Linked DNA regions of Callithrix jacchus. The protein of the gene in region 7 binds, or shares a complex with, the protein of the main gene of each other region. Links are inferred from orthologs where the notes say so. Each region holds a gene or a part of one and is shown on either strand. Other genes may lie near its edges.

What was found.
Region 1: POLR2E (region 7) and UBTF share a complex: the UniProt entries of both Homo sapiens proteins name them as parts of the pol I pre-initiation complex. The link is inferred for Callithrix jacchus from reciprocal best matches to the Homo sapiens genes POLR2E and UBTF.
Region 2: POLR2E (region 7) and GTF2F2 share a complex: the UniProt entries of both Homo sapiens proteins name them as parts of the TBP-based Pol II pre-initiation complex. The link is inferred for Callithrix jacchus from reciprocal best matches to the Homo sapiens genes POLR2E and GTF2F2.
Region 3: POLR2E (region 7) and TAF1C share a complex: the UniProt entries of both Homo sapiens proteins name them as parts of the pol I pre-initiation complex. The link is inferred for Callithrix jacchus from reciprocal best matches to the Homo sapiens genes POLR2E and TAF1C.
Region 4: POLR2E (region 7) and RUVBL1 share a complex: the UniProt entries of both Homo sapiens proteins name them as parts of the PAQosome complex. The link is inferred for Callithrix jacchus from reciprocal best matches to the Homo sapiens genes POLR2E and RUVBL1.
Region 5: POLR2E (region 7) and TAF1B share a complex: the UniProt entries of both Homo sapiens proteins name them as parts of the pol I pre-initiation complex. The link is inferred for Callithrix jacchus from reciprocal best matches to the Homo sapiens genes POLR2E and TAF1B.
Region 6: POLR2E (region 7) and ERCC3 share a complex: the UniProt entries of both Homo sapiens proteins name them as parts of the TBP-based Pol II pre-initiation complex. The link is inferred for Callithrix jacchus from reciprocal best matches to the Homo sapiens genes POLR2E and ERCC3.

The regions. Positions count from the first base shown.
Region 1 is NC_133506.1:71,063,735-71,067,319, forward strand, and holds part of UBTF (nucleolar transcription factor 1), read right to left. Parts: intron 1,849-3,585; coding exon 1,784-1,848; intron 1,504-1,783; coding exon 1,383-1,503; intron 1,026-1,382; coding exon 915-1,025; intron 579-914; coding exon 445-578; intron 320-444; coding exon 178-319; intron 1-177. UniProt on the Homo sapiens protein: Recognizes the ribosomal RNA gene promoter and activates transcription mediated by RNA polymerase I (Pol I) through cooperative interactions with the transcription factor SL1/TIF-IB complex.
Region 2 is NC_133506.1:164,327,271-164,331,655, reverse strand, and holds the start of GTF2F2 (general transcription factor IIF subunit 2), read right to left. Parts: upstream 2,867-4,385; 5' UTR 2,722-2,866; coding exon 2,656-2,721; intron 1-2,655. UniProt on the Homo sapiens protein: TFIIF is a general transcription initiation factor that binds to RNA polymerase II and helps to recruit it to the initiation complex in collaboration with TFIIB.
Region 3 is NC_133521.1:41,830,406-41,834,697, reverse strand, and holds the start of TAF1C (TATA box-binding protein-associated factor RNA polymerase I subunit C), read left to right. Parts: upstream 1-1,419; 5' UTR 1,420-1,566; intron 1,567-1,869; 5' UTR 1,870-1,987; intron 1,988-2,329; 5' UTR 2,330-2,372; intron 2,373-3,436; 5' UTR 3,437-3,508; coding exon 3,509-3,643; intron 3,644-4,292. UniProt on the Homo sapiens protein: Component of the transcription factor SL1/TIF-IB complex, which is involved in the assembly of the PIC (pre-initiation complex) during RNA polymerase I-dependent transcription.
Region 4 is NC_133516.1:74,053,397-74,056,981, reverse strand, and holds part of RUVBL1 (ruvB-like 1), read right to left. Parts: coding exon 3,547-3,585; intron 1,809-3,546; coding exon 1,745-1,808; intron 364-1,744; coding exon 165-363; intron 1-164. UniProt on the Homo sapiens protein: Possesses single-stranded DNA-stimulated ATPase and ATP-dependent DNA helicase (3' to 5') activity; hexamerization is thought to be critical for ATP hydrolysis and adjacent subunits in the ring-like structure contribute to the ATPase activity.
Region 5 is NC_133515.1:105,072,594-105,076,178, forward strand, and holds part of TAF1B (TATA box-binding protein-associated factor RNA polymerase I subunit B), read right to left. Parts: intron 562-3,585; coding exon 384-561; intron 1-383. UniProt on the Homo sapiens protein: Component of RNA polymerase I core factor complex that acts as a GTF2B/TFIIB-like factor and plays a key role in multiple steps during transcription initiation such as pre-initiation complex (PIC) assembly and postpolymerase recruitment events in polymerase I (Pol I) transcription.
Region 6 is NC_133507.1:37,211,322-37,214,906, forward strand, and holds part of ERCC3 (general transcription and DNA repair factor IIH helicase/translocase subunit XPB), read left to right. Parts: intron 1-1,167; coding exon 1,168-1,286; intron 1,287-3,037; coding exon 3,038-3,190; intron 3,191-3,585. UniProt on the Homo sapiens protein: ATP-dependent 3'-5' DNA helicase/translocase. Binds dsDNA rather than ssDNA, unzipping it in a translocase rather than classical helicase activity. Component of the general transcription and DNA repair factor IIH (TFIIH) core complex.
Region 7 is NC_133523.1:1,037,373-1,041,698, reverse strand, and holds the start of POLR2E (DNA-directed RNA polymerases I, II, and III subunit RPABC1), read left to right. Parts: upstream 1-1,463; 5' UTR 1,464-1,488; coding exon 1,489-1,545; intron 1,546-3,432; coding exon 3,433-3,607; intron 3,608-4,326. Other genes in the region: uncharacterized protein LOC144580922, read left to right, coding at 837-1,001, 1,148-1,398. UniProt on the Homo sapiens protein: DNA-dependent RNA polymerase catalyzes the transcription of DNA into RNA using the four ribonucleoside triphosphates as substrates.

The DNA.
Region 1 (3,585 bases), on a different chromosome or scaffold from region 7:
GTGTGGGCTGGACTCCCTGCCTGGATGGGCTCAGCTCTGAGCCCAGCCCAGCCCAGCCCAACACCCAAATGGAAGCAGGTACCTGAGGTATATGCCACCAAGAACTGACTGGCCCAAGCTGGGGTCAGACCTCATGCTTCAAAACCCCAAGGCAGGACGGCCCCTGCCACAGCTCACCTGGTCACACTTCTTGTGATAGGCATCCTTCTCCTTCTGGGACAGCAGCTTCCACTGCTGGCTGCACAGCACCATGCGCTCTGTGCTGGGCACGTCCTTCATGTTGGCCATGAGCTCTGCGCAGTACAGCGAGTAGCTGTTCCTATCGGAGCCGTGGGGGGAGAGGTGCAGCCCGTGAGTGAGCAGGGCGGCAGGCCTCCTCGCCCACAGAGTCCGACCCAACTCCCCAGCTACCCACTCGCCCACCCACCCCAGGGCAGCGCTCACGGAGGTGGCTTGGTGGGTCGCCCGTCAAACTTGTCCTTGAGCTGGCGTTCGGCCTTGGTAAGGGTGGACTTGGTGATACCCTCTTCACTGATATTCAGCTCGGGGTGCTTCTGGATATAGTCTCTCATGATCTCCTGCAGAGCCAGGTGGGGGGACGGAGGGCAACGTGGTGTGGAGTTAGCTGGGGCAGGGGTAGGGGGAGAGCCGCTGGGGAGGGCAGGCAGGGAGCAAAGCTGGGGGTGGCTGTGTGTCAGCAGTGTCACACGAGACGTGGTGCCCTGCCCTGCCCTAGCCTGAGATCTCATGGGGCGGGGGGTGGGGAAGGTAGGGGCAGAGGCAAGGGGCCCAGAAGGCCCCTCCCTCAAAAGAGGAATGGGGAGTGACACCTTCCGCAGAGTGCGGTGGCCACGGAGTCGAAGGGCAGAGGCTCGTGAAGAGCCGGACGGGGAGGAGCGCAGCGGAAGCCTAACCTCGTACTCCTTCCGCTGCTCCAGGGCCTTATGAATCCATTTCAGCCTCTTTTTGTCCGAGAGCTGAGACCACTGCTTCCCCAGGGAGTCCTTCACCTCCTTCGTAGTGGCCTGCAAACCAAAAGCCGTCAGACACGCACAAGCAGCCAGGAGTGGGGGGGGGGGGGAAGGGGGCACAGAGGCCCCCGCCCCCTCAGGCCATGGGAGGTCACATCAGTGTCCCCCACAGGCCAGGAGGGGAAGGTGGAGAGGCGGGGATCCCGCCTGGGTACAAGGGGACTGGCTCACACACGCACGCACGCACGCACACGCTCGCACGCCAGCTGGCCCAGGCCCTGTCCATGCAGCCCACCCTTGGGGAGGGGCCTCCTCTCCTGCTCCCCTGCACCGTGCCCAGCCGACCTGGCGCGGCTCCCCCCTGGCCACCACCGTGCATCCTCCACCCCCAACCCTTGGCCGGACACTCACATCTGGCCGCACTTTGAGATACACCTTCTTCTCGTGGGTGTACCACAGCTGCTGGGGGGTTTTGGGCTTCTCTGGGATGTCCGATTTCTTGGCATTCTGGATTAGGTCAGGGTGATCCTCCCTAGCCAGGACATGGGGAGCAAGGATCAGCAGGGGATGCTGCCAGGGCAGACCCAAGCTAGCTGCCCCACCCACCAAGCCTCCTTGGCCTTTCAGCTGTGGCTCAGTGGGACGGTGGCTGCCTGACTGTCCCTGCCCCTCTGAGCATGACACACTAGGGCTCACATGTGACCCATCCTTCTTCCATGCCTCAGAGACGGCAAACTCCAGGCTCTGGCCAGGGTTAGCCTATTCAGCTGTACCCAGTGCCCGTAGCCCTCCTCTGGGCTCCACTGCCTTACCTGAATCGGGCCAGGTTTCGCTCGAACTCCTGTTTCTCCCTCTGGAAGTCCTGAATATATTTCATCTGAGGGGAGGAGGGGATGGGGTCACCCAGGACCCAAGGATATCTCACCCTGAGCTAAGAAAGCCACCCAGACCCCTCCTTGTGCGCTCTCTGCGGCCTCCTATGCTGTGGTGCAGGGGTGGAGGCTGGCACCCTGCCCACCTCCCCGCGGGACTCATCACAGAGGAGACCTGCTGGCTTCTACTACAGATGGTGGGAGCTGCAGGGGTCACCCAGACATTAAATCCTACATCCTATTCTCTCCTTGCAAGGGAGAGTCAGAGAAGGGGGCCGTGGCATTACCCAGTCATGCAGTACGCAGTGGCAGTGCTGGCGCTCCCCCACCCATTTCTCCACCACCACAAAATACCCAGTGGAGTCAGGTGCAGGCCCTGCTCCCATCACTCTCTTATTGTCTGTGGCAGCTGACATTAGCCTGTACCCCTGGAGGTGGCCTCTACATAGGACCAGGGCTGGGCTGAGTCCTGTTTCCAAAGTATGAGAGGAGACTACTGTGTGGAGGGAAACCCAGAGTTCTTACAATACAAGCCACGGCCAGGAGCCCTGCGCCTTCCTGTCCAGTTCTGACACCATCACCTTCCTCCTTTTCTCCAGGATCCCAGCTGTCTGGATCCTCCAACCCTCCCTCCCTCCCTCAGCCCACTCATTCTCTCCCACCACTTGACTTCCCTTCATCACCCCCTTTTCAGCCTCACCCCCTTCCCACCCCCACCTCCCTCCCTCCCTGCATCCTTGCCCACCTCTCCATGGCCTCCCTCTTGTAATCCGTCTTTTTTTATTCCATATCTACCTCCTTTCTTGGCTCCCACATAATGTCTATCTCTTCTTTTGCCTTCATAGGCTCACAAGAGTGGCACTGGAAGGTGCCAGGAGCTCATGGCAATTAAGCCCAACCCCTGCCTCTTAGAGAAGCACCAGGCATAGAGAGGCAGCACCTTTCCCTCCAGTTCTCACAGAAAACCAGAAGCAGAGCTCAGCCTCCTCTTCCCCAAGCTCAGTCCTCCTCACAAAATAGTTTCAGAGCTGGAGGGCACCACACAGACCTGGCTCACCTCACATAAAGACCAGGCCCAGAGAAGCGGAGTGACTTACCAAAGACCCCATACACAGCGAGTTCAGAGCCAGGAGAACAGGCCCAAGTCTTGTGTCCCCCAGGCCAGCACCTCGTCCACTCTACCGGTTTCTTCTGGCTTTCCCTGGCTCTCAGACTCTTGGCCTCTCCCTCCCATCCCATGAGAGTATTTGGGTATGTGTGGTCAACTGTCCAACATCCTCATCAAAAGGGCCAAGAACAGTTCCAGCACTCCATACCCCTGCTCTGCTTGGGCAGAGGTTGCAGACAGCTGGCTTCTTTTTGGGTACAGCACCATGCGCATGTGAATCCGCAGCGAGGGTATGCCAACCAGGAAAGAGGGCTACTCACAGCGTGGTGGCTGCCAGCGTCATCTTTTGAGAACTGGCTGTGTATGACTTTGTTTCCTTGCCAAGCAGATGTGCTTCTTGTTTTTCCTGCTGTCATTCCCATCTATCCCTGGCTGTCTCCTCATCCAATGTCTCTTCCTTGGGTCCTCTCTCCCCATCCCATGTTTCTCGTGTCCTATCTGCAGGCTCCTCCAGTGTTTTGCTGCCTATCTCTAGGAGGGAACCCCTGAGCTGTGTGTGTGACTGCTTCTAGCCCTGCCTGGGAGGCCTGGGCAACCCCCTGCTCAGGGTTAATGCTTTGATGGTCTGAGACAG
Region 2 (4,385 bases), on a different chromosome or scaffold from region 7:
AACATTATAATTACTTTGCTCGAGTTCTTTTTCTGAGTGAGTCAGCAAATCCTGACAATTTTACTCAAAGTTTCCCTAACTCCTAAGCTTCATTATCATGTACCTAGCATCCTGTGATTTTTTTTTTTTTTTTTTTGAGACAGAATCTCTCTGTCGCCCAAGCTACAGTGCAGTGGCACGATCTTGGTTCACTGCAACCTTCACCTCCACGGTTCAAGCGATTTTTCTGCCTCAGCCTCCCGAGTAGCTAGGACCACAGGCATGTGCCATTATGTCTGGCTAATTTTTGTATTTTTAGTAGAGACAAGGTTTCACCATATCGGCCAGGCTGGTCTCAAACTCCTGACCTCGTGATCTGCCCACCTCAGCCTCCCAAAGTGCTGGGATTATAGGCGTGAGCCACCAGGCCCAGCCCAATCCTGTGATAATTTTCTAATTGTGACTCTGGTTGCCCTCCTCTCTAATTCGTACTGCACACTGCCAAACATTTTTTTTCTGAATACCTGGCGTCGCTACCTCACTCAAGTCCTCCAAAAAGTTTGTTACTTCCTTGTAAACTAAAGTTAGAACATTTCCACTTCATGACATGACAGTCTGAGTATATGGGCCCAACCTTTATTTACACAGATCTTCTGCTCTAGGGTCTGTTTTCCACAACATGCCAAAACATGCCATGTTTTCCACGATTACGTATTTTGAGTCTTGCATTTCTGTTCCACTCCCCATGGTATACACCATGTCTACCCATCCAAATCATGTAAGGCAAACATTGAGCATTTACCATGCTCCTAGGACAACGGCACCATCTCCAGTCACACTATGTTTTCAAGCTTTTTCCTTCAGTCTGCAAGGATCATCTCTTCCTTAGTGACTCTCCTCCAATTAACATGCTGCTGGAGCGAGAAATGCCTATTTAATCCATTCTTTTTTTTTTTTGAGACGGAGCTTCGCTCTTGTTACCCAGGCTGGAGTGCAATGGTGCGATCTCGGCTCACCGCAACCTCCACCTCCTAGGTTCAGGCAATTCTCCTGCCTCAGCCTCCTGAGTAGCTGAGATTACAGGCACGCGCTACCATGCCCAGCTAATTTTTTGATTTTTTTTTTTAGTAGAGACGGGGTTTCACCATGTTGACCAGGATGGTCTCGATCTCTTGACCTCGTGATCCACCCGCCTCGGCCTCCCAAACTGCTGGGATTACAGGCTTGAGCCACCGTGCCCGGCCTATTTAATCCATTCTTTTAAGTCATACTGAGCTTTGAAATAAGTCAAATGAGTGCCACAGACTAAGGCAAGGGTTGAAGAGTGAGAGGTCAGGCATTTATTCATCACCTGTTTGTTGAATAATTACCATGTGCCAAACACTATTCTGGGTAAACAGGCAAAGATCCTGTTCTCACGGAATGCAATTTTGTGTTGGAAAGACGAAGGTAACCAACTTTTCACATATTAACACAAAATCACTCTACACCGTGAAAAGTGCTTTGAGGAATGTAACATGGATATGTCATGTTAGCAAATGATCATAAGGGAGCTCTTTTAGGAAGACCGACAAGGAAGACCGCTTAGATATAATTGACGAGAACTCAGCCATGTGATAAAATAAGCGAAAGCATTAAGAAACCAAAAGTCCCTACATTTTAAGTTTCAATGAGTTTCAGGATCACATGTCGAATATGCCTAAGTATTATGAGCCTCCCCTAGGAGACAACACTCCCCAACATGAAACAGTGAAGCACGAGTAGTGCCCACTGTGAGCTAACCAAAATCGCTGTCTTTACGTAAAACACTTACTGATGGTCAGTTTCACGAGACCCAATTGTGCTCTAAAAGAATATTCCAGGCCGGGCGCGGCGGCTCACGCCTATAATCCCAGCACTTTGGGAGGCCGAGGCGGGTGGATCACGAGGTCAAGAGATCGAGACCATCCTGGTCAACATGGTGAAACCCCGTCTCTACTAAAAATACAAAAAATTAGCTGGGCACGGTGGCGCGTGCCTGTAATTCCAGCTACTCAGGAGGCTGAGGCAGGAGAATTGTTTGAACCCAGGAGGCGGAGGTTGCGGTGAGCCGAGATCGCGCCATTGCACGCCAGCCTGGGTAACAAGAGTGAAACTCTGTCTCAAAAAAAAAAAAAAAAAAAAAAAAAAAAACAAAGAATATCCCAGTCCAATGACGTCTCCTGCGAGTTGAGAGCTGTCTCGCCTCTTTTCGGAGCTCCATTAAGGACCATCAACCTAACACAACACTTTAAGGGTACGCATGGACCGGTTCTACTTTCTCGCCGAGAAAAATGTACAGAAAACAGACATTCAACTACCCCACACAGGCTCATGGCTAAAAGCAGTTTCACCAAGAGAAGACACAAGGAATTCTTCGGTCCTAGATAAAATGCACCGTCCAAACCGGGGACATCAGGACGAGGCTCCAGGAAAGCCGTGAGAAGAAGAGACGAGTCCAGGTGGATTCAGACTCGTAACTGGCGCGCCTAAACGGATTTCCTCATCTGCAAACATACAGCAATGCCTCCTGCCTCTCAAAGTACGTGAAGCTCTAACGAGACAGCCGTAAAAGAACTTTAAGAGGCGCACGCAGCCGGATGGGTTCAAGTTACTTAAACTATACTCGTGTTGGGAGGAGCGCGCAGCGAACGTTACCTTGACAAGCCACACTCCCGTGTTCTGTTTGGCGCCGGTCAGATCGAGTTCCCCGCGCTCGGCCATGGGTCTGCCGCTGGTGGAGGCGCGCGGGCTGTAGCAGCGACCCCAGGAGCCGGAGGGCTGCGGAGCGAACGTCCGGAGCAAAGCGCTAAGCCGCGCTGAGAGGTGAAGAGCCGGCGTTTCTCACCGGCCCGGACACCGGAAACCCGCGGAAAGGGGAACACGCCGCCGGGAGCTGGGATTGCGCCTGCGTATTACTACGTCAGTACGGCGCCCTGTTGCGGACAAACTTCCTGTGTCGGCAATTTCTCGGGTGGGCGTGGCTGTCAGCGATGTCTATCAGAGGGATTGAAACTTGGTTGGGATGAGCCAAAACGTTAGCAATGTATTTAAAGACAAGGTCAGCATAACTGAAGAAAAAGATTATCAGAATGAAAAAATGGGGTTCAAAGAGACAAGAGCTGTCAGAACATGTCCAGTCCTAGCCAGAGAGAGGAGAGAGAGAGAGAGACAGTATTTGAAGGGCAGGATCTGGGTAGCAAATGGGCGTCCTTGGCCAACGTCATTAGCACAGGTGGGCACTGGGATCAGACTGGGTAGCCCTGGTACTGAACACATGCCGTTTCTAGACCTGAAAAGAAAGCGGTGTTTCAGCTCGGAGGCTGCCTGAGCTCTTCTGATTAAGCGAGCAGAGCACCTCAGACTCCAAAACCCGGAGGTCTGTGAAGAAATGAACAAGTAAGAGACAAACTTGGTCGTTTCCTCCCCTGCGTAAACGATGTTCTCTTTCTCTTCTTGCCTCTGGAATAAAATTCAACCCTTCTGCTTCAACTGGGCCCTCCACCACCACCCATCACTCCACCACCCACCCAACCACACCAAACCCAGCAGACTTTCCTGAACACGTCAGAATCTTCCTCGGTCATTTCAGAGCCTCTGCACACTGGATTCCCTTCCCTCAGATGCCCTGTTTTACCCCTACCCTCATTCCCACCCCTGTCCTCTGGTTGCCAAACTCCTACTTGTAGTTCAAGACCAACGGAAATGTCACTTCCTGTGACACCTTTTATCAACTCCCCCGGAAGAAATTAGTTTTTCTTCACATCACGCTGTGATACTTAGCACTCTGCACTGTAATATGTATGTTTACATGTCTGCCTTTGCTTTCCAGACTATGAACTGGTCCTAGGCAAAAAGAGCCTTATTGAGGTATAATTGACAAATAAAAAATAGTGCTTTATTCATTTTATCTCCACAATGTCTAGTACAGTGTTTGATACATCGTCAGATTTCAGTAGGCTTTGGTTGAAAGAACATTCGCTGAAGAGAAACAATAAGGTATTGTTAAGAATGGCAAGTAATTTTTTGAGTCATACATCAGAGCCATGAACAAAATTGAGGAAATTTTACGTATGTTCAGCATAGGGCCAGGAAAAGCTGTCAGAACTCTACAATTAGCTAGCAAAACTAATAGGAAAGATGGGAGAGACTGGGAGTGTGTTGAAAATGAAAGTTTCGGCCATGTGTGGTGGCTCATGCCTGTATTCCAAGCACTTTGGGAGGCCGAGGCGGGTGGATCACGAGGTCAGGAGTTCGAGACCAGCCTGGTCAACATAGCAAGACCCCCATCTCTAAAAACAAGAAAAAGAAAAAAAATTTAAGTAGAAAATGAAGATTTCTTCTTGTGCAACAACTTGGGAAAGGGCCTAAAACATATAAAGGGTAAG
Region 3 (4,292 bases), on a different chromosome or scaffold from region 7:
CACTGCACCCCAGCCTGGGTGATGGAGTGAGACCATGTCTCAAATAAACAAAATAAAATAGGAAGATGATTATCCTGAATTACCTGAGTGGGGCCACTGTAATCACATGAGTCCTTATGTGGGAAAGAGGGAGACAGAGAGTCAAAACCAGAGAGAGAGCCTCATGAGAAGGATTCGACTGGTACTGCTGACTTTGAAGATGGAAAAGGGTCATGAGCCAAGGAATGGAGGCAGCTTCCAGAAGCCAGAAAAGGCAAGACAGTAGACTCTTCCTCAGAGCCTCCCAAGGGGAACACAGCCCTGCCGACATTTTTAGTCCAGGTAAAAACTCCCAGATAAAAATGATATAGGCCAGGCATGGTGGCTCACGCCTGTAATCCCAAGACTTTGGGAGGCCAAGGCGGGTGGATCACTTGAGGTCAGGAGTTCGAGACCAGCCTGCACAACATGGTGAAATCCCATCTCTACTAAAAATACAAAAAGTAGCCAGGCATGGTGGCATGCACCTGTAATCCCAGCTACTCAGGAGGCTGACGCAGGAGAATTGCTGGAACCCGGGAGGCAGAGGTTGCAGTGAGCTGAGATCACGCCACTGCACTCCAGCCTCCATCTCAAAAAGAAAAAGAAAAAAACTATAGATGACAGTTGGAGAATTTGGAAATTGATTCTTTAAAGCAACTGTTCTCCAAGTGTGGGCCTTGGACCAGCACCATCTGGGAACTTGCTAGAAATGCAGACGCTTGGCCTGCATCCCAGATCTACTGAATCAACAGCTCAGGAGGCAGAGGAAGGCTGAAGCAAACTTGCCACAAGCCCTCCAGGTGGAGCTGAGGCTCACTCAAGTTTGAGAAGTACTACGTTAGGATAACGGTGAGGTTTATGACTGGATACTGGTTCTTAAAGCATGACCCCCAGATAAGCAGTCTCAGCATCACCTGGGAACTTGGGCAAATTATCAGACCCCACCCCAGACTCACCCAACTGGAGACCGTGTTTTAATGAGCCCCCCAGGTGCTTCTGCTGATGCACACTTGCCAGAGTTTGAGAACCACTGCCTAAAGCTCTCCCTGCCTGACCAACCCTTGCAAAGCCTCACTCTCAGGAGGCATTTGTACTCTTATTTATAAAGCCTGCTTCTTAGGATTTAAGAACAATCACTAAGATACCTACTTATTAATACAGTGCCTGGCTTATAGTAGGTGCTCCGTAACAGTTCGTTAAATGATTAATACAATACAACACCGAGGAAATTGGTGAAGCAGATGTGGGATTCGAACCCACAATCACCCAGCCTCCACTACTGAGACTCCAGGGAGCTTTATTTTCGCCGCCCACGCGCCGCCTGAACGCCGGGTCCGCCAAGACCCAATGACGCCTGACTGGGAGGCGGGACTTCCTGCCTTCCCAGGAGGCACTTCCGGTTCAAACGGTAAAGCCGTGAGTGGCCGCGGAGGGGCTGAGTGCCGGCTCTGTGGTTCTGTCTGAGGTTTCCCGCGTGGTGTCGGGGTCGGGCGAGCTTCACGCCGCGGCCCATTTTCTTGAAAATCACGATCGGACCCGGGCCACGTAAGTGCATCTGCCTCCTCCGCGCGGACTGGGCGTGTTCGGGAGGAGTGCACCCGCAGATGGAGGAGGAGAGAAATCCCCGAATCCCCCGTCCCCGGCCTGGCGTCAGTGCGGAGTCCTGAAGCCTCGGAAGTCTAAAGGGTCCTGGGGAGCCTGCAGCGAGGGCGGGAAGCCGGCTAGGGAAGTCGAGGCTGCCTTGTGGGAGGGCTTTTGCGGGGTCGTGCGCTCCACCTGCGTAGGATCGTTTCAGGCTGTGCGGTTCCGAGGGAAAATCCTTTTGTTTCTGTTTTATTTTTGAGACAGAGTCTTGCTCAGTCACCCAGGCTGGAGTCCTGTGGCATGATCTTGGCTCACTGCAACCAGTGCTTCCCGGATTCGAGCGATTCTCGTTCTCCAGCCATCCGAGTAGCTGCGATTACAGGTGTGCGCCACCACGCCCGGCAGATTTTGTTATTTTTAATAGAGACAGGATCTCACTATATTGGCCGGACTATATTGGCTCAAATTCCTGGCCTCAGGTGATCCGCCCGCCTTGGCCTTCCTAAGTGCTGGGATTGCTGCAGGAGCCACGGCACCTGGCCAAAGGGAAAAGGTTTTTGTTTAGTGAGATCCTAATGCCAGCCTTCGCGTTTCGGTGCATGGGAGAGCAGTGGTTCAGAGCTCTGCCTCTGAATCAGGTGCGAATCAAGCCTTGGCTGTGGCACCTTAAGAGCTGTTGTACTGAAGTTCTTGCAGAGCCTTCGTTTCTTGAATTCCGTAACAGGGACGGCGATAGAAGAGGAAAACGTTTAGCAAGTGCCTGACAGGTAGATGCCTGGCGCTTGGTCAGTGAGCTCTGCTGTTATTTCTGCCCGTTATTTTTGCTAATTAAAAAGGAGGGATAACATGGCCACTCAAACTTCCAGAGGACTGTGGAGTTTTGTTGTGTTTTTTGGTTTTGTGTTGTTTTTTTTTTCAGATGGAGTCTTGTTCTGTTGCCAGGCTGAAGTGCAGTGGTGCCATCTCGGCTCACTGCAACCTCCGCCTCCCGGGTTCAAGCGATTCTTCTTTCTCAGCCTCACAAGTAGCTGGGATTACAGGCATGCACCACCCTACTAGCTGATTTTCTATTTTTAGTAGGGATGGGGTTTCTCCGTGTTGGTCAGGCTGGTCTCAAACTCCTGACCTCAGGTAATCCACTCACCCGCCTCAGCCTCTGAAAGTGCTGGGATTACCAGTGTGAGCCACCGCGCCCGGCCCCTTGTGATATAAATTTATTTTTATTCAACCCATAGTGCATTTTCTGTGGGGTCACTATGCTTGACAGTAGGAAGACGATGATAGATGCAGTCCCTGGCTGTGGAGTAACTCGAGCTTTATCTTGGGAGTGTGTATAGTCTAAATGTGTGATGACGGGGCTTAGGAGCTGTGTGAGAGGCTGCCCCCACCAGCAGTCTGGTCCATCACCGCTCTCCACCTCGCTCACCCTGCGGCTGCCTCATTGTGTGAGAGGCTGCCCCACCAGCAGTCTGGTCCATCACCGCTCTCCACCCCGCTCTCCACCTCATTGTGTCTCATACACGTCACTGCTCCAGGATTTTCACACTTGCTGATGGTTCTGCCTGGAACCCTCTCCCCAGCTGTGTACATAGCTCTGTCCCTCACTAAGTTCAGGCTGTGCTCAATGCCACCTTCTCAACAAGGCTTTTCCTGGCTGGCTTTGCTGAAACAACACCCTGGGCCTGTTAGCAGATCCAGCTCTCCTGGGTGGGTGGCTAGCTTTAATATAGTTCCCATTACTGCTTGGCGTTGGGCTACATACTCATTCGTTTTTTATTATCTGCTTCCTCAAAGAACATATGCTGCTCATAGTGCCCTTTTCACTCCTCAGGAACCGTGGCACCCCTCACCAGCTTCCAGTCTCTCGAGGTGGCCAGTGTGCTGCTTGGTCCTTGTTCCCAAGATGGACTTTCCCAGCTCCCTCCGCCCCACATTGTTTATGACCGGCCCCCTTGGTCTGAACGATGTCTCTGACCTGTCCATGTGCAGCTGGCAGAACGTGCTGACTCAGCCAGAGGCCCAGCCCCAGAACTTGAAGGTAAGGATGGAGGCAGGGGCCCTGGCAGCTCCAGGGTGCACCCCTTCCCTGGTTCCCCCATCTAACATTCACCCCAGTTGACAAGGCCACAGAGTGGGGTGGCATTCTCACGAGTCTGCTGAGACACAGGCTGTGCCACCTTCTTGGGCTACCCTGCCATCCCTAGACGGATGCCCCCACTGTGCCAGATTCCTTATGAGGTGCTGGGAATGCTGTGTCAGTCAGCCAGCTGACCTCCTGCTCCTGGCACAGAGAGCTAAGTTGAGCGAGAATAAACAAGTGAACCTCATTCAGCGGATAATGTGTTTACAAAATGTGATCAGAGCTTGGAGTGAAACCGGAAGAATGCTGAAACAGCGTGGTGGGATTGGGAGAGGGAAGGATAGACCTGCCAGGGTTTCTGGTGCCTCTGGAGGGACACTGGCTCTTTGCTTGGAATCCTCAGCCACCTGGTTCCCCTTGGAGATACCCTGTCTAGAAATGGAGCCTGGCAGAGGCAAGCGGGTGAACAAATAAAAAGAGAGAGTGGAGCAGGGATTTGGGGGATGGGAGTCAGGGATGGCCTCCTTACGAGGGAGGGTCTCACCTCAAATTGGGGCTTCTCTGGGAGTCTGGTTTGCTACCTTTTTTGTCCCCTGAGTGTTTGAGC
Region 4 (3,585 bases), on a different chromosome or scaffold from region 7:
TAGAAATGAGGCCAGAGCCAAGCCAATTGGCACATTTTTCCTCAAAAACAACAGGACCTCCCTTCATCCCCGTCCTGACTCATGGAGTTTAGAGAGATCCTGAGGAACAAATAAGCCCAGATGGAAGGTAAAAAAGCCTTGTGGCTGGCAGGCAGCCATCCTACCTGATGACACAGTTGCCTCGGTTGGATGCAAAGATGACGATGGGGGCAATAGAAGACTCCAGGGCGCGGTGCAGGTAGGTGAAGCACTCAATGTCCAGCATGTGGACCTCATCAACAAACAGCACACCCGGGACCAACTCAGCAATGCCCTGGTCGATGTACTTGTTCACCACCTTATTAATCTCCCCTCGAAGTTTGTCTAGGAGATGCAAGGATGGGCGGGGGCAAGGTCAGCACCAGGCTGGGGGAGACTATCACCTTTTCTCTTCTCCCCAACCTAAATTCAATCCAAACCCACGTTGGCAGCCTAGTTTTTCTACTAGCTATTTGACCCCAGGCAGGGTGTGTCCCCACTCCAGGCTTCAGTGTCATCATCTGAACACAGTGATAATCACACCTAAAGGTCACAGAATTGGCAGCCTCCCCCAAAAGATGTGTTTGGTTAAATGTGAAAAGGCTGCATGGGTATTCTGCATGGGAATCCCTTCATGGCACACACTCACTGACTACCATGCCTTATCACCTCCCACACACCCAATCTAGCTCTGTCTGATCTGGGAGACATTGGAGTTTCGGAGCCCTGGGTGAAATGCGTTTTCACATGCAAATTTTCCTGTTCTATACTCAGTAAATGACCCTTTCTTTTGGTCCCACATAACAATGCTTAGTTTAATTAACTTTCAATCAAGTGCCTGGACTAAGGAAGTGGGTGCTTTTAGAATCCTGAGCAGAAACCTTGGAGGAATGAAAGGCTCTGAAGAAAGGTCCAATCTCAGAGCTCCTAGAGGGATGAGTCTCTCAAAAGTTACACAACCCAGCTAAGGTCTCAGTACTTATTTTCCAAACCAGCTCCTGTGTTATGATCAGGAAGGAGCAGCTCACAAACAGAGAACTGGAAGATCTGAGGCAGCGTCTTCCAACAGAGGCACGAGGCAGGAACTGTCCAAAGGGGATGCACACCGAAAACCATATGAAAACAAAGAAACTGCTCCTGACAAACCCGAACAGAAAGGTTTCAGATTGCTGCCCTGGCTAAAATTTTAACGATAATATTTGCTTTAATATTTAATTACCAGCTTAAGATGATGGAACTGTAGGTAGAATTAGAAAAATAAAAATAAAACAGGAAAGCTAGGAAGAGCAGCAGGGTAAAATAAAGGTTCACATGGGAGCAGCAGCAGTGTCCCTCATGGAGCTCTGGGAAGTGCCCACAAACTGGGCAGGGTAGTGTGTGGAGCTGATCTGTGGAGCTGCCCTGCACTCTACTGGGGAGGAGGGTGACAGCACCAAGGCTCCAGAGCCTGTGCTCCAGCAGAGCAAGGCAACACAAATCCACATTTCTGGGGCCTCATAGGGGCCAAAAACTGTGACTGCAGAGGGGCAGAGAGCACACACGTGCTGTATGGCTGCCTAGATGACACCAGAGACTTAGGCTAGAGTCAAGCTCTGAACTATGAGGAAGAAGGAACTGTTCTGAGGCATTTCCTTAGGGTGGATGCGCTCACAGAGCCTCAAGAGCAACTCAGAACACAGGGCCCTCCACCCTGCCCCTTGCTCACAGGCCATGCTGGTTGTCCTACCTGTGATTTCTGTCTTCTTTGGCTTCATTAACTGGCCCATCATGGACAGAATATCTTGTCCTCCCTGCATAAAAGAAGACTTTAGAGTCAGAGTCAGTGCTGCTTTCTAAGGCAGCTACAGAAGCCTCACCCCCTGCATCCCACTCATCAAGTCAACATGGGGTTCTGACGTATGGAGAACCCTCCTCAAAGCCTGAGGAGCTTCTAAACACAGAGGAATTTTTAGAGGTTCCCCAGGACCTGTAAGAATCAAACAAAATCCTTTCGTGGGAAGTATAAGCTCTGTGGTGCCTGCCCAGCCTCCTTCTCCAGCTTTATCTTTTTCCAATCCTTTGTTCCTTGATTAACCATACAAGACCATGAGCCTGCCCTGGATACCCCAAAGCTCTTTTATAACCCAATGCTTTTGCAAAATCTATTCCATCTTCCAGGAATACCATTCTCCTTCCTAGGAAGTTCCCAGTCATTAAAGTTCAAGTCAAATGCCCTCTGGGGGGCATCAACCCTAACCGGCCTCATGACTTCCTCCCAATGTTCCCATGCCTTTGGGGACACACAGACTATAAGAGTAAGTATAAACATACCATGATTATATTGCTGTGCCTCCTTTCACTAGATTTGGCCACAGGCTCGCATCAGCCTAGCCCTTACTTAACCTGGAGCTGTTGAGACTATGGGTCTGTCCCTGTGGAATGGCTGACTCCATAGGAGGTTCACCACTCACCTGCATCCTCCTGCAGGCTCCTAACAGTGCAGTCAGCAAGAGGAAGAGGTCAGTGTTTAGTCATTTGTTCAGCACTTAGTGATCACCTCTTGGTTACCAGGCCCTGGGACACAGAGGTGCTCACTAAATGCTGAATAGCTAAAGGCAGCAAATGTTTCCTGTCTGGTTCTCAAAACAGCCTTGCCCCATAGGAGGAAACTCAAAATCAGAACCCTAAATCACAGAAAACTCAAGAGACCCAGAGTGACAAATCAGCCATGCAGTCAGTGATGAAGCAACATGTTTCCTGACTTCTGACTCCCAGCCCAGCACTCTTCTCAGTTAAGGGCTCCCAGAAGGTCAGTTTGGGGATGGCCATTTCACCAACCAAGGGGACCTATTGGTCCAAGATGAGTCTTGACCAAAGCTCCAAGGAACAAAACACTCACGGATCAAATTTCAAATCAGAAAACAAACTATTCCCCAATAGTGAAGAGGTGCGTCTTTTAGGATGAAGATGAAACCAAACTGGAAGACCATCAGCAGGAAATAGTTGGTGTCTTGTTTCTTTTAATCACACATTTCCTAGAAGTGTCATAAAGTGAAAATATCCTTTCCTACATTTTATTAGTCACAGTATAAGTATCTATCTGCCTGAGAAGCAGACAACAGTACCAGCTCAAAGCTTAAAAAAAACTGTGGCTTTTGCTAAGCAGGGGGAAAGAAAGAGCTTTGTCAGGCTTTCTGAAATCCTGTAGAGGGCTCATAGAACTCTCCTGCCCTCCTGCCATTAACACCCAGAGAATCCCAGGCATGAGCCCACTGCTGGAGCAAAGCCGCAGAGGAAGCTGGCTAGCTCAGGGCCAGAGGCTTGGCTGGGATAAGAAACAATACACATGAAATCATCTGTGACTAGAGCATTTGAATGGGAACAAAGGAGTCCCTCGTAGCTCATGTCGATGTTAATTGCTGAACATTACAGATAGAAAAGGACCGTCTGCCTCAAGATAGGCAGCAAGACTCTGACAATTCATTCCCAGACCTCTATGCACATACAAAAGGGCTAGTGTGCCACGTCACACAAGCATCGAAGGAGTACCTGGGGCCGCGCATTAGCCACATCCAAGTCATGCAAGGT
Region 5 (3,585 bases), on a different chromosome or scaffold from region 7:
ATCTTTGAGAACACATAATGTCAGGAGCCTAACGGGATATAGATAAAATGCTAAACCACTCTTCAGGATTTATGAAGATACTTTAAAACGAGGAAATTAGTGGCACAACAAGGAACACTGCTACCTAAACAATAACAGGAATAAAACACGATCAAACAACTGACAAACAGCTGAGTCAGAGCACTGTGTAAGAAATAATTGTGACTACTAGTCAGTGTTTTATAATGACTGAGAGTCTCCATTCTGTATTGAGATAACATACAGGTAAATATAGTACAAAGTTTTTCTTTAGCTCTTTTTTCTAAAGTGTCTTCATGACATTCAAAGCTTTCTGAAAAAACTAAGTAACTCTGTTACTTGTCATAAAACTGACATACACTTACCACTCTAAATTGTCATCCAGTAGAAAGAGCAGTTTCAGGACCACCACAATGACAGCTACAGCTTGTACATCATACTTAACAGTTTTTGCCACTTTAGCTATAGGATCAAATGTCAAAAAATCTGCTTCTCCCATTCCAGTCATTTTTACCACGTGGCAAGTTAAGCTATGCATTTCATCTGTTGAAGAACAAAACGGTAAAATGTAAATTAAATTCTTTGGCTAACTAGACCATTCCAGTGTATATATCCATGAAATAACCTTTATCTTAAAACATGATACTATGCTAGAACTCAGAGACACACATTTTGTGAATAAAACACCAAAACGTGGCATCTATAGCAAAAAATGAATGGTAGAATCTTAAAACAGTGTATCATTCCCTCTTCTGACTTCCTAAAACATCTACTATTCATAGGACACATCCTGGCACCAGGCAGACAGACACATACCAGTTTTTTCTATAGCACTGTGTGCTCACCCAAAACTAACTCCCTTATAAGACCAAAAGCTTCTCTAGGAATGTACGTGCACTGGCATCCTGGCTAGCACACTGTAAGCCCTCAACATGTGTTTAACTAGATATACTGCTTTCCTAAAGACATTATATGTTCAGCATAGACTATTCCTATTACTCAAGACTGAATAATGTGGGACTTGGAACCAGAAAACCTAGGACCTGTATTTAAGCTTTCCAATTATTAGCTTTGTGACTCTTGGATTACAGTCACTTAGCCTCAGTTTCTTCACTTGTAAAATGGGTTATAAAGAGAATAAGCTGAGATTATCCTCAAGTGAACAGATTTTGAAAACTCTTTAAGTTACTAAACAAATTTTTCTACTTCCCAATCCAAGTATCTAAGATGTGACCACACGCTACTCTAATCAATTTCAAGTATGACAGCCATTATTTATAAGAGATAATGAAGTTGCATGGAATTGAACTGAATCTCCTACATACATTCAGTCACTAGGTCCTGTTAATTCCATTCTCTCGATGTGGCATATACTACCATGGTTAAGAATAGACTACGGAACCAAACTGCCTGGACTAGAGTCCCCGCTCCATCACTGACGAGCTCTGTGACCTGGGATATGCTATATAAACTTTCTGTGCCTCAGTTTCTAAAACATCTATCTAAAATAGGATTAGGAACAGTACCTGCCTCATAGCTATTGGAAGACTGCATTAATGAATATACTAGAGTACTTGGCTCAGTGCTGACTGCTTCCAATCCATCCCCTTTCTTCCCATCCACTGTTGCTGCTTAGGTCACACTCAAACTGCTCTCCCTTTCTCTAGTCTTACTCCCCTGTGGGCCAATCATCTATTTCCCTGCTCTCATGAACTCATTAACACTTTTAGCTCCCAGCCTAATCTCCAGAGTTCCCCCAAACAAGCCATATTCTAATTTCCCCTTTGCCTAGAAAGCCAGTTTCTTCCCCCATTCCTCATCTCAGGCTTTGCCTGACTGAAGCTCACTCATTTTACAGAACTTGGTTATATCAGTGACTTCCTCTAAGAACAGACATAGGAGACCAAGCCTCCTTTGACTGGCTCTCTTCTGAGTGCTAAAGAAGGTCTCCTGGCATTTACCCGTCTACTGCACACATGAAGGGCTTATTGTTTTGTTTCTCTCTTTTTTTTTTTTTGAGACAGAGTCTTGCTCTATGCTGGAGTGCAATGGTGTGACCTCGGCTCACCGCAACTTCCACCTCCCAGGTTCAAGCGGTTCTCCTGCCTCAGTCCTCCCGAGTAGCTGGAATTACAGGCACGTACCACCAAGCCCAGCTAATTTTTGTAGTTTCAGTAAAGACGAGGTTTCACCATGTTGGCCAGGATGGTCTCAATCTCCTGGCCTCATGATCCTCCCGCCTCAGCCTTCCAAAGTGCTGGGATTACAGGTGTGAGCTGCCGCACCCGGCCTATGTTTCCCTCTGAAACTTGAGGGTGACTCAATCTTGCTTTGTCTTCCTAACTGCTACAACCTACACATAATTGGTACTAATTACATGTTTATGATAAAGAATAAATTAAATATAAAATTAATGTCTTTCTTGAAACATTTAAGTAAAAAATTTTCACTGAGTAAAAATGCTTTGTAAACCTACAAATAAAACAATGATAATTCAAAATATGGCATCAAAGTATTTTCATATCTACCAGATTCTGATAGCTTTGCTAAAGTTTTCACTTGGTTTTATTCTTCCACCAAACATTTATCGAGCAATTAATGTGTTCTGGGCACTCAAGGTACAGACACAGTCCTTTTCTTCAAGTTGCTAAATGTTTAGTAACATGTAAGTAATGAGAATGCAATATGGTACAGACTATGACAAAGATGGGACGGAGCTTTCAGGAACTGCAAACAGCCCAACAAGGCTTTATTGTTGAATGTGAAGAGTCTGGCAGGGCCAGACAGTGCAGGTCTTTGTGAGGCAGAGAATCTGCACTATTATACTGTTAAGATAATTTTAATTCACAGGTTTTACCTGAATTTACTCCTGGGCTTCATTCAGATGCAGAAAGATTAGGAGACAGAAAATTAACAATTCAACAAGCATTTACTGAGTGTCTACTAGGTACAAGACATTGTGCATTAATCTAATGGAGGAAACTAGAGAAATCAGTGATAGGACTCCTGCACTAAAACACATACAATTCAAACATGGAAAAAATTAATTTTAAAATACATTCACTAAAATTTTAACCATTATCTATATTGGGCTGTAGAAGCTATAGTCTCTTCTCAGATAATTTAAAAATCAAAACCATATTAGTACTGTTATTCTAAAAAAGGACATTTCTTGAAATATTTATCTTCTTTTAAAATTAGCATCTTGGCTGGGCGCAGTGGCTCATGCCTATAATCCCAGCACTTTAGGAGGCTGAGGTGGGCAGATCACCTGAGGTCAGGAGTTCAAGACCACCCTGGCCAACATGACAAAATCCTGTTTCTATTACAGATATAAAAATTAGCTGGGCATGGTGGCAGGTGCCTGTAATCCCAGCTACTGGGGAGGCTGAGGCAGAAGAATCACTTGAATCCGGGAGGTGGAGGTTGCAGTGAGCTAAGATCGTGCCGCTGCACTCCAGCCTGGGTGACTAAGCCTCTTGTCTTGGAAAAAAAAAAAAAAAAAAAAAAAAAAATTAAGATGTTGAACTGCTTCCCTTATGCCAAAAATAGACTAATAAAAAAGCA
Region 6 (3,585 bases), on a different chromosome or scaffold from region 7:
TTTCTTTGCTTGCTTTTTTTTTTTTTTTTTTTGAGACAGAGTCTTGCTCTACCTCCTAGGCTGGAGTGCAGTGGTGTGATCTTGGCTCACTGCAAACACCACATCGCAGCTTCAAGGGATTCCCTTGCCTCAGCTCCTGAGTAGCTGGGATTACAGGTGTGAGCCACCATGCCTGGCTTATTTTCGTATTTTTAGTGAAGACAGGGTTTCACCATGTTGGCCAGGATGGTCTCAAACTCCTGACCTTGAGTGATCCACGCCCACCTCTGGCCTCCCAAAGTGCTGGGATTAAAGGTGTGAGCCACCACACCCGGCAGCATAAAGTTTTCAAAAAGATTATCTATATTGTGGCATCTGTCAGTACTTCATTCTCTTTTATTGCCAAATAATATTCGATTCCATGGACATACCACATTTTATTTGTCCATACATCTGTTGATGGACATTTGGGCTGTTTTCACTTTTTGGCTCTTAGAAGAATTCTGCTATGAAATTCATGTACAAAATTTTGTGTGGATATAGTTTCATTTCTCTTGGATTTATGCCTGGAAGTGGAATTGCCAGGTCGTGTGGTTATAACATTGTGTTTAACATTCTGATGAACGGCGAGACTGTTTTCCAAATCAGCCACATCATCTTTGTTCTCAGCAGCAGTGCATGAGGGTTCTAGTTTTTCACAACCGTGACAACAATTTTAGTTATCTGCCTTTTTGATGCTAGCCATCCTCGTGGTGGTGAGGTGGTATCTCATTGTGGTTTTGAGTTGCATTCCCTGGTGATTAATGGTGTGGAGCATCTTTTCATGTGCTCATTGGCTATTTTTATATTGTCTTTGGAGATATAATCTGTTCATATTCTTTGTCCATTTTATAATTAACTTGTCTTGTTGAGTTTCAGTAGCTCTTTATATAACCTAGATACCAATACCCTATCAGACATATGCTTTTCAAATACTTTTATTCTGTGGATTGTCTTCACTTTCTTGGTGGTGTCCTTGGAAGCATAAAAGCCTTCTTAATTTGATGCAATCCCATGCCGGGTTCAGGTGGTAACCCCGAGTGCAGGGCTTTCCCACTGCAGTGCTTGCTTTTGAGCCTGGGACCCTTAGCTCTTGGCGTTTAAATGGCTAATGTCTTCTTTCTTGCCTTTTCTCACTTTTCCCTGCAGGGATGGTTGCAGAGGAGTACAATGCCTTTTTCTACTCACTGGTATCCCAGGACACACAGGAAATGGCTTACTCAACCAAGCGGCAGAGATTCTTGGTAGATCAAGGTTATAGCTTCAAGGTATGCATCCATTTGGCCTCGGGTTAGACTAGGACCAAGGCCTTCTTGGTATGCTGGCCTCCAGGAGAAGTGAGGGCCACTGTCAGCAGGCAGGCACTAAGCATTAGGGGATTAGGGGCCTTGCCTCAAACTCCTTTTGTCTCTGCATGAATTGCTGAGGGCAGCTGTGGGAAGTGTGCTGTCCTGGCAGGACTGAGGTGCTAGGGCACTATGGCCAGCACTGTGTGAGTGTGAGCCCTGCAGGGTTGCTTTCTCCGGGACCCCTTTCCAGGTGGCTAGGAGAGCTCTTCCTTTCATCAGCTGGTAAGCTCCAGGCCTTAGTGTGCCTCACTTTGGCTCCCAGACATAAGAGCCATCCCTGTACTACTAATCAGGTATTTTAATAATTGAGAATTGTAGAGCTTTGGCTAGCTTTCATTGGCTGAGGCATTTGCTTTCTTTTCTGTTACACAGATACTACGGTTCTGTCAGTATTATGGTGTCCAGAAGGGCTTTATATTTTGTAGCTAGATGGAGGGTTCTAGAAACAGGGGAATTAAATTCCCCCTGTGGTCCACTAAAAGGACATCCCTAGAACATCAGACTCCCAGGTTCTTGATTGCAAAAGACTGTAGGCTGCTTTTGAGGTGTATTTTCAATGTGTCTCTTTATGCATTGCTGAGAGTTTCCATTGTTGGCCTTAGGAAGACAGAGTTGTCTGGCCTCCCCTCTTTTAGTTACAGGTAGTGGCATTTTTCAGACCTCTCATGCTGGCCTAGAGGACAAGATGCTTGGGTTTTGAGCCCAGTTTTTGGAGGATTTGCATTGTGACCTTTTTATCCATCCATAAAAATCCCTGCTGGTAATAGCATTCCTACCTCCTGATTCCTGCTGAGCTCTGAGGGTAAATCAGAAAGAGCTACTCTGAATTCTTTGAAAGGTGACCTTGACAAAAAGGCACAATCCCATGCTGTAGTAGTTTGTGTTGGTTGGAGCTGTGTCCTCAGTGCTGCCTGTTGAGGAGGAGTGGTTGGAGTTCCCAGAGTCATGACCTGGAGTGGTTAGGCCCTGGGCAGATGTGCACGTCGTCTGTACTCTGGATACCTGGCCACCAGAACTCAGATCCTTACTTGTAGGAATTTTCCTTTAGTTAACATTATGAGAATTTGGAGGGAGAGTTCCCTTTACATAATCAACCCACGCTTTCTGCAGAGATAGGGAAGCCTCATAGTAAGTTATCCCCGTAGACATGAAAACCTAGTCTCCACCGTGCTGTTCTGTTTCAGAGAAGCTCTGTAAATATCTTCTTAATATCCTGTCGTTTTTTTTATGCTCATTCCTGCTGGAAGCCCCAGTTGCTGAGCACAGCAGATGCCAGGAACCTTCTCAGAGGGCCACAGCCTATGCCTTCCAGTCTCTTGTCCCTTCTTTTGGCTGCTCCAAGATGTGAAAGCTACCCAAAGAAGCCTTTTCAAGTCACTGAGATTCTTTGCTTTAATCTTCCATCCATGATCATTTAGATGCTGGGAGCAGGTTTCTCTGAAATTCCTGCATCTCTCTGGTCTTGAGATCATTAGTCAAGCTTCCTATTAAAGGCGGCTGCTGACACTGGTCTCTGGAATGCTAGGGAGGAGTTCTCCATTGTTGGCCACCACAGTGTGGCTGGGACTGGGGAGGGAAGTGACCAAGAGCAGGCAGACCCAGGAGAAGGCAGAGTAGGGCCAGGGGAGAGAGAGCAGAAGGGAGCATGTCTGCCGGCTTGGGCTTCGCAGGTGATCACGAAGCTTGCCGGCATGGAGGAGGAAGACTTGGCATTTTCGACAAAAGAAGAGCAGCAGCAGCTCTTACAGAAAGTCCTGGCAGCCACTGACCTGGATGCTGAGGAGGAGGTGGTGGCTGGGGAATTTGGCTCCAGATCCAGCCAGGTGAGTAAGTGGGTGAGGAGGCTCCAGGTGTCAGCACTCCCACAGGACAACATTTGTAGACACAGACATGTAGTCCTTCCTGGATCATCCATGGGATTTTTTGGAAAATGTTGGAAAACATGGAATTGATGACTAGAAACAGCCCTTGTTGCTCTTTCGGTGTGTGCCCCTTGAACTGTTGCATGCAGGGGAGCTCACAGGGACTCTGGCTGGTCTCCTGCTTTGCTTATACAGGTATTTGTCAGATCTTGATGTTGAAGCCCGGGTTGGCAAGCAGGTGACCCCAGCCCACCTTGGTGGTGATTGGAGGGAGCGTGATGGGCTGGGGTCACATAGTTCCCACACACAGGGCTGCCATCCCTGGCCGTGGGCACCTAGTTCTCCTCTGGTTCCTC
Region 7 (4,326 bases):
ATCCACCCGCCTCGGCCTCCCAAAGTGCTGGGATTACAGGCTTCAGCCACCTCGCCCGGCCTAGTCCCATACTTCTTGACCTGAGACTTATCAGTAAGATCAAAGATCACATGATTATATGTCTGTGATTACATATGAATTATATGTATGTGATTATTTTACGGTTATATATAGGAATAACTACGTTACAATATCTCTAATTCTTTTCTAATTCTGTGTTTATATGAGAACATGCTGAGGCTTCAGACCCTTGCCTCAGTGCTTGCAGGGTTCCCCCCTACAGCTGACAACTTAAAACTTTTCTAAACAGGTAAAAGCAATGGAGAGCTGGGACATGCCTGTGAGCACGTCCAGCACAGATATCTTGGTTAAAGTACAAGGACACAGGATGTACTAATTGCCTAGAAGTATGGCATATCTAACACCTGCATAGGACAGGGCTTAACAGTTATTAACACACTTATGATTTATTCTTTTTTTTTTTTGAGACGGAGTTCCGCTCTTGTTACCCAGGCTGGAGTGCAATGGCGCGATCTCGGCTCACCGCAACCTCCGTCCCGTGGGTTCAGGCAATTCTCCTGCCTCAGCCTCCCGAGTAGCTGGGATTACAGGCACGCACCACCATGCCCAGCTAATTTTTTTGTATTTTTAGTAGAGACGGGGTTTCACCATGTTGGCCAGGACGGTCTCGATCCCTTGACCTCGTGATCCACCCTCCTCGGCCTCCCAGAGTGCTGGGATGACAGGCGTGAGCCACCGCGGCCGGCCTGATTTATTCTTTAACAGGAAAGGAAACTGTAAAAAGGAACCTTTCTACTTCCCACTGTTGGAAATAGATGGTCGGTGCCACAGAGAAAAATCAGCACTGAGACAAAGGCTCTTTGAGCAACGCAGTTTTGACTTCGTGGACTGCAGGAGGGCTCCTCTAGAGAGATGCCCAGCTCTACCCGAGCCTCCCAGTTATCCGTCTAAACGAGGGACACTTCACTGCCATCGCACAGGTAGGGAAACTGAAGCTCACTGGCACTAAAGGGGACATGGGCTGGATACAACAAAGAGAACCCTGTAGACTTTGGTGTACAAATATTTACAGTTCTCACTAGGCTGACCGCCCCTAGGAGCTGAGCTGCCCCTTGGCCCCATCTAGGCCTCAGTTTCCCCACCCACGCTCCGGCCCCGCTCCGTGGGATTCTAAACCGCTGCCCCAACGTGGGAGTTGAACGGAAACTACAACTCCCGAGAGGCCGAGCGGCCAAAGACACGGGAGAACTGCGGAGCGAGAGTCTCGTGCAGCCAACTGTCGCGCTCGTAAGGCTCGGGTTGCCCTTGGCGCTGCCGGTCCCAGATGTTGCTGCAGTCAGGCCTTCGCGGAAGGCAGCCCAGCTCCGGGCGGGGTAAAGCGAAGGGGACCTGACTGGCGTTCGGCGCAGGCGCAGTCCGCGCGAGACGTCACTAGCGCATGCGTAGGGGGTGCGAGTGGCGACCGCCATGGACGACGAGGAGGAGACGTACCGGCTCTGGAAAATCCGCAAGACCATCATGCAGGTCAGCCGCGCGCCGGGCAGCTGTTTAGAACCGTGGGGTGGGGCCGGGGGCGCAAGAGGTGGGTGCAGGGGCACGAGGTGGGGTCGAGCTCGGCCTCTTGGCGTAGTCCCGTCGGAGCAGCAGCGATGAAGGGGCGGGCGGTGACGGGAGGCCTCGAGGCCGCCGGGGTTCTCAGGCGCTGGGCCCGACCTGAGCCGGCAGCGGGGAGGGGGATTTCGGGACGTTTGGGTGCGGGAGCTTAGGGGTGGTCGGGCGGCTCGGGCCTGGTGCGGCGCGCGTGGCGGCAGGAGGAGGAGGAAGGGGCGCCCCCAGACCCTGCCCCGCTCTGTGGTTCCGCGGCGCCTTTTGTCCCCGCGTCCCGGACCCCCGGGGGTCTCCGCATCCGAGGTTGGCGGAGTTGGTGGTTGGGCAGCAGCGACCGAGCTGGGGCGGGAGATGGGGACGTGGAGCCCGGAAGCCGTGCCTCGGGGCCTGGGGCAGACGGAGGCCGCGGGGCTGAGTCGGGTTTGGAAGCCGCGCGGTTCGGAGTCCGGCTCCAGCCTTTGGGGCCGTTCCAGAGCTTTCGCTTTGTCGTCCTTCCCCACCCATTGCCCTTGTCCTCAGCGAAGCCCACGCAGCCGGATTCTCCCTCCTCCGGGCCTCGCTGGGAGCCTGTAGTTCAGTTTCCGTCCTTGTCTTTTTTTTTTTTTTTTTGAGACGGTGTTTTGCTCTCGTATCCAGGCCGGAGTGCAGGGGCGCGCTGTCGGCTCACTGCAGCCTCCGCGTCCCGGGTTCAAGCGATTCTCCTGCCTCAGCGTCCCGAGTAGCTGGGATTGCAGGCACCTGTCACCACCCCCGGCTGAATTTTTTTGTATTTTGAATAGAGGCGGGGTTTCACCATGTTGGCCAGGCTGGTCTGCAACTCCCGACGTCAGATGATCTGACCGCCTGGCCCCCCAAAGTGCTGGGATTACAGGCCTGAGCCACAGCACCCGGCCCCCTGTCTTTTTTTCTTTTTCTCTTTTTTTTTTTTTAAGACGGAGTTTCGCTCTTGTCACCCAGGCTGGAGTGCAATGGCGCGATCTCGGCTCACCGCAACCTCCGCCTCCTGGGTTCAAGCAATTCTCCTGCCTCAGCCTCCCGAGTAGCTGGGATTACAGGCGCGCGCCACCATGCCCAGCTAATTTTTTGTATTTTTAGTAGAGACGGGATTTCACCATGTTGACCAGGATGGTCTCGATCTCTTGACCTCGTGATCCACCCGCCTCGGCCTCCCAAAGTGCTGGGATTATAGGCGTGAGCCACCGCCTCCGGCCCTTTTTTTTACCCCCCCTAAAAAAAAGACAAGGGTTTTTCTCTGCCTTCCAGGCTGCAGTGCAGTGCTGCAGTCATAGCCGGCTGCATCCTCAAATTCCTGGCCTTAAGCAGTCTTCCTGCCTCAGCCTCCCTAGCACTCAGATCACAGTTCTGAGCCTTCGAGCCCGGCTTCCCTCCCTGTCTTTAGGGTCTCTCTGAAAAGTGGTTTGGAGGGCTGGGTGTGGTTGCCAGGTTTGTGCCCTGCCAGGTTCCTGTGAGGCTGGGCCCTGCAAGCCTCTCAGGATCATACTGGTCCCATCCTGTGGTGTGGCTGTGGGGGTAGGGTGGCTGTCCCAAGGCTGAATGAGTGTTCAGCCTTCTGTCCTCTGCAGCAGCTGCAGGTCTGACTTCTGGGTCATGAGATCTGGCCCCCTTCCTCCATCTGCCCTGAGGTCAGCTGGCTCGCTCTTTTTTTTTTTTTTAAATAAAGGGGTTTCACCATGCTGGTCTTGAACTCCCGACCTCAGGTCATCCGCCCGCCTTGGTCTCCAAAGTGCTTGGATTACAGGCGGGAGCCACCACACCCAGCCACCTGGCTCTTTCTTTCTGCAGCTGTGCCATGACCGTGGCTACTTAGTGACCCAGGACGAGCTTGACCAGACACTGGAGGAGTTCAAAGCCCAGTTTGGGGACAAGCCGAGCGAGGGGCGGCCGCGGCGCACAGACCTCACCGTGCTGGTGGCACACAACGATGACCCCACCGACCAGATGTTTGTGTTCTTTCCAGGTGAGCAGCACCAGCTGAGGAGCCAGCTGCCAGCATCCGCCTCCTGCCCAGCTCCTGTCCCTCTGCCCAGTCTGGGGGAAAGGCTCCCCTCCCCTTCCTTGTTTGGGGTGATGCTGTTGACGTCTGATCTCTCTCATGCAGCATCTTTCTAGTTTCCCTCTTATCAGTCCCCTTCTCTCTTCCCTGACCATTTCCTCCAACCAGGATTGTCACGTGGGCCTCTCCACTTACCCCAGCCCCCCATGACCTTGTGTCCCTCAGCTCCCCCATCCTGGCCACTGGGTGCCCTTCCAGCTTCTTGGCCTGGCCTAGGAGGCCCTATCCAGGTCAGAGCAGCCTCCTTGTGAGCTGCGGCCCTGGCCGCCCTAACCCGCCCCAGCCCATTCCCCGCCCTGTCAGCGTCTGCTCTTTGTCCCTCAAGATTGTGCGGGGGACTCTTTTCCCGGGTCCCCTGGGACACTTGGTGTCAGCACTTTCTCTGTGGAGTCTCCCCCACCTGTCTGCCTCCCCATTGTGGCTCTAAAGCCCTCCGAGGTTGGGGGACTGAGAAAGCCTTATGTGCATAGCCCAGCACCTAGAATCAGTGTGGAGGATGGAGCCTGTCTGCTTAGTGGACCTGGTGAGGCTCTTTTTTTTTTTTTTTTTTTTTTCTTTTTTTTTTGAGATGGCGTTTCGCTCTTGTTACTCAGGCTGGAGCGCAATGGCGCGATCTTGGCTCA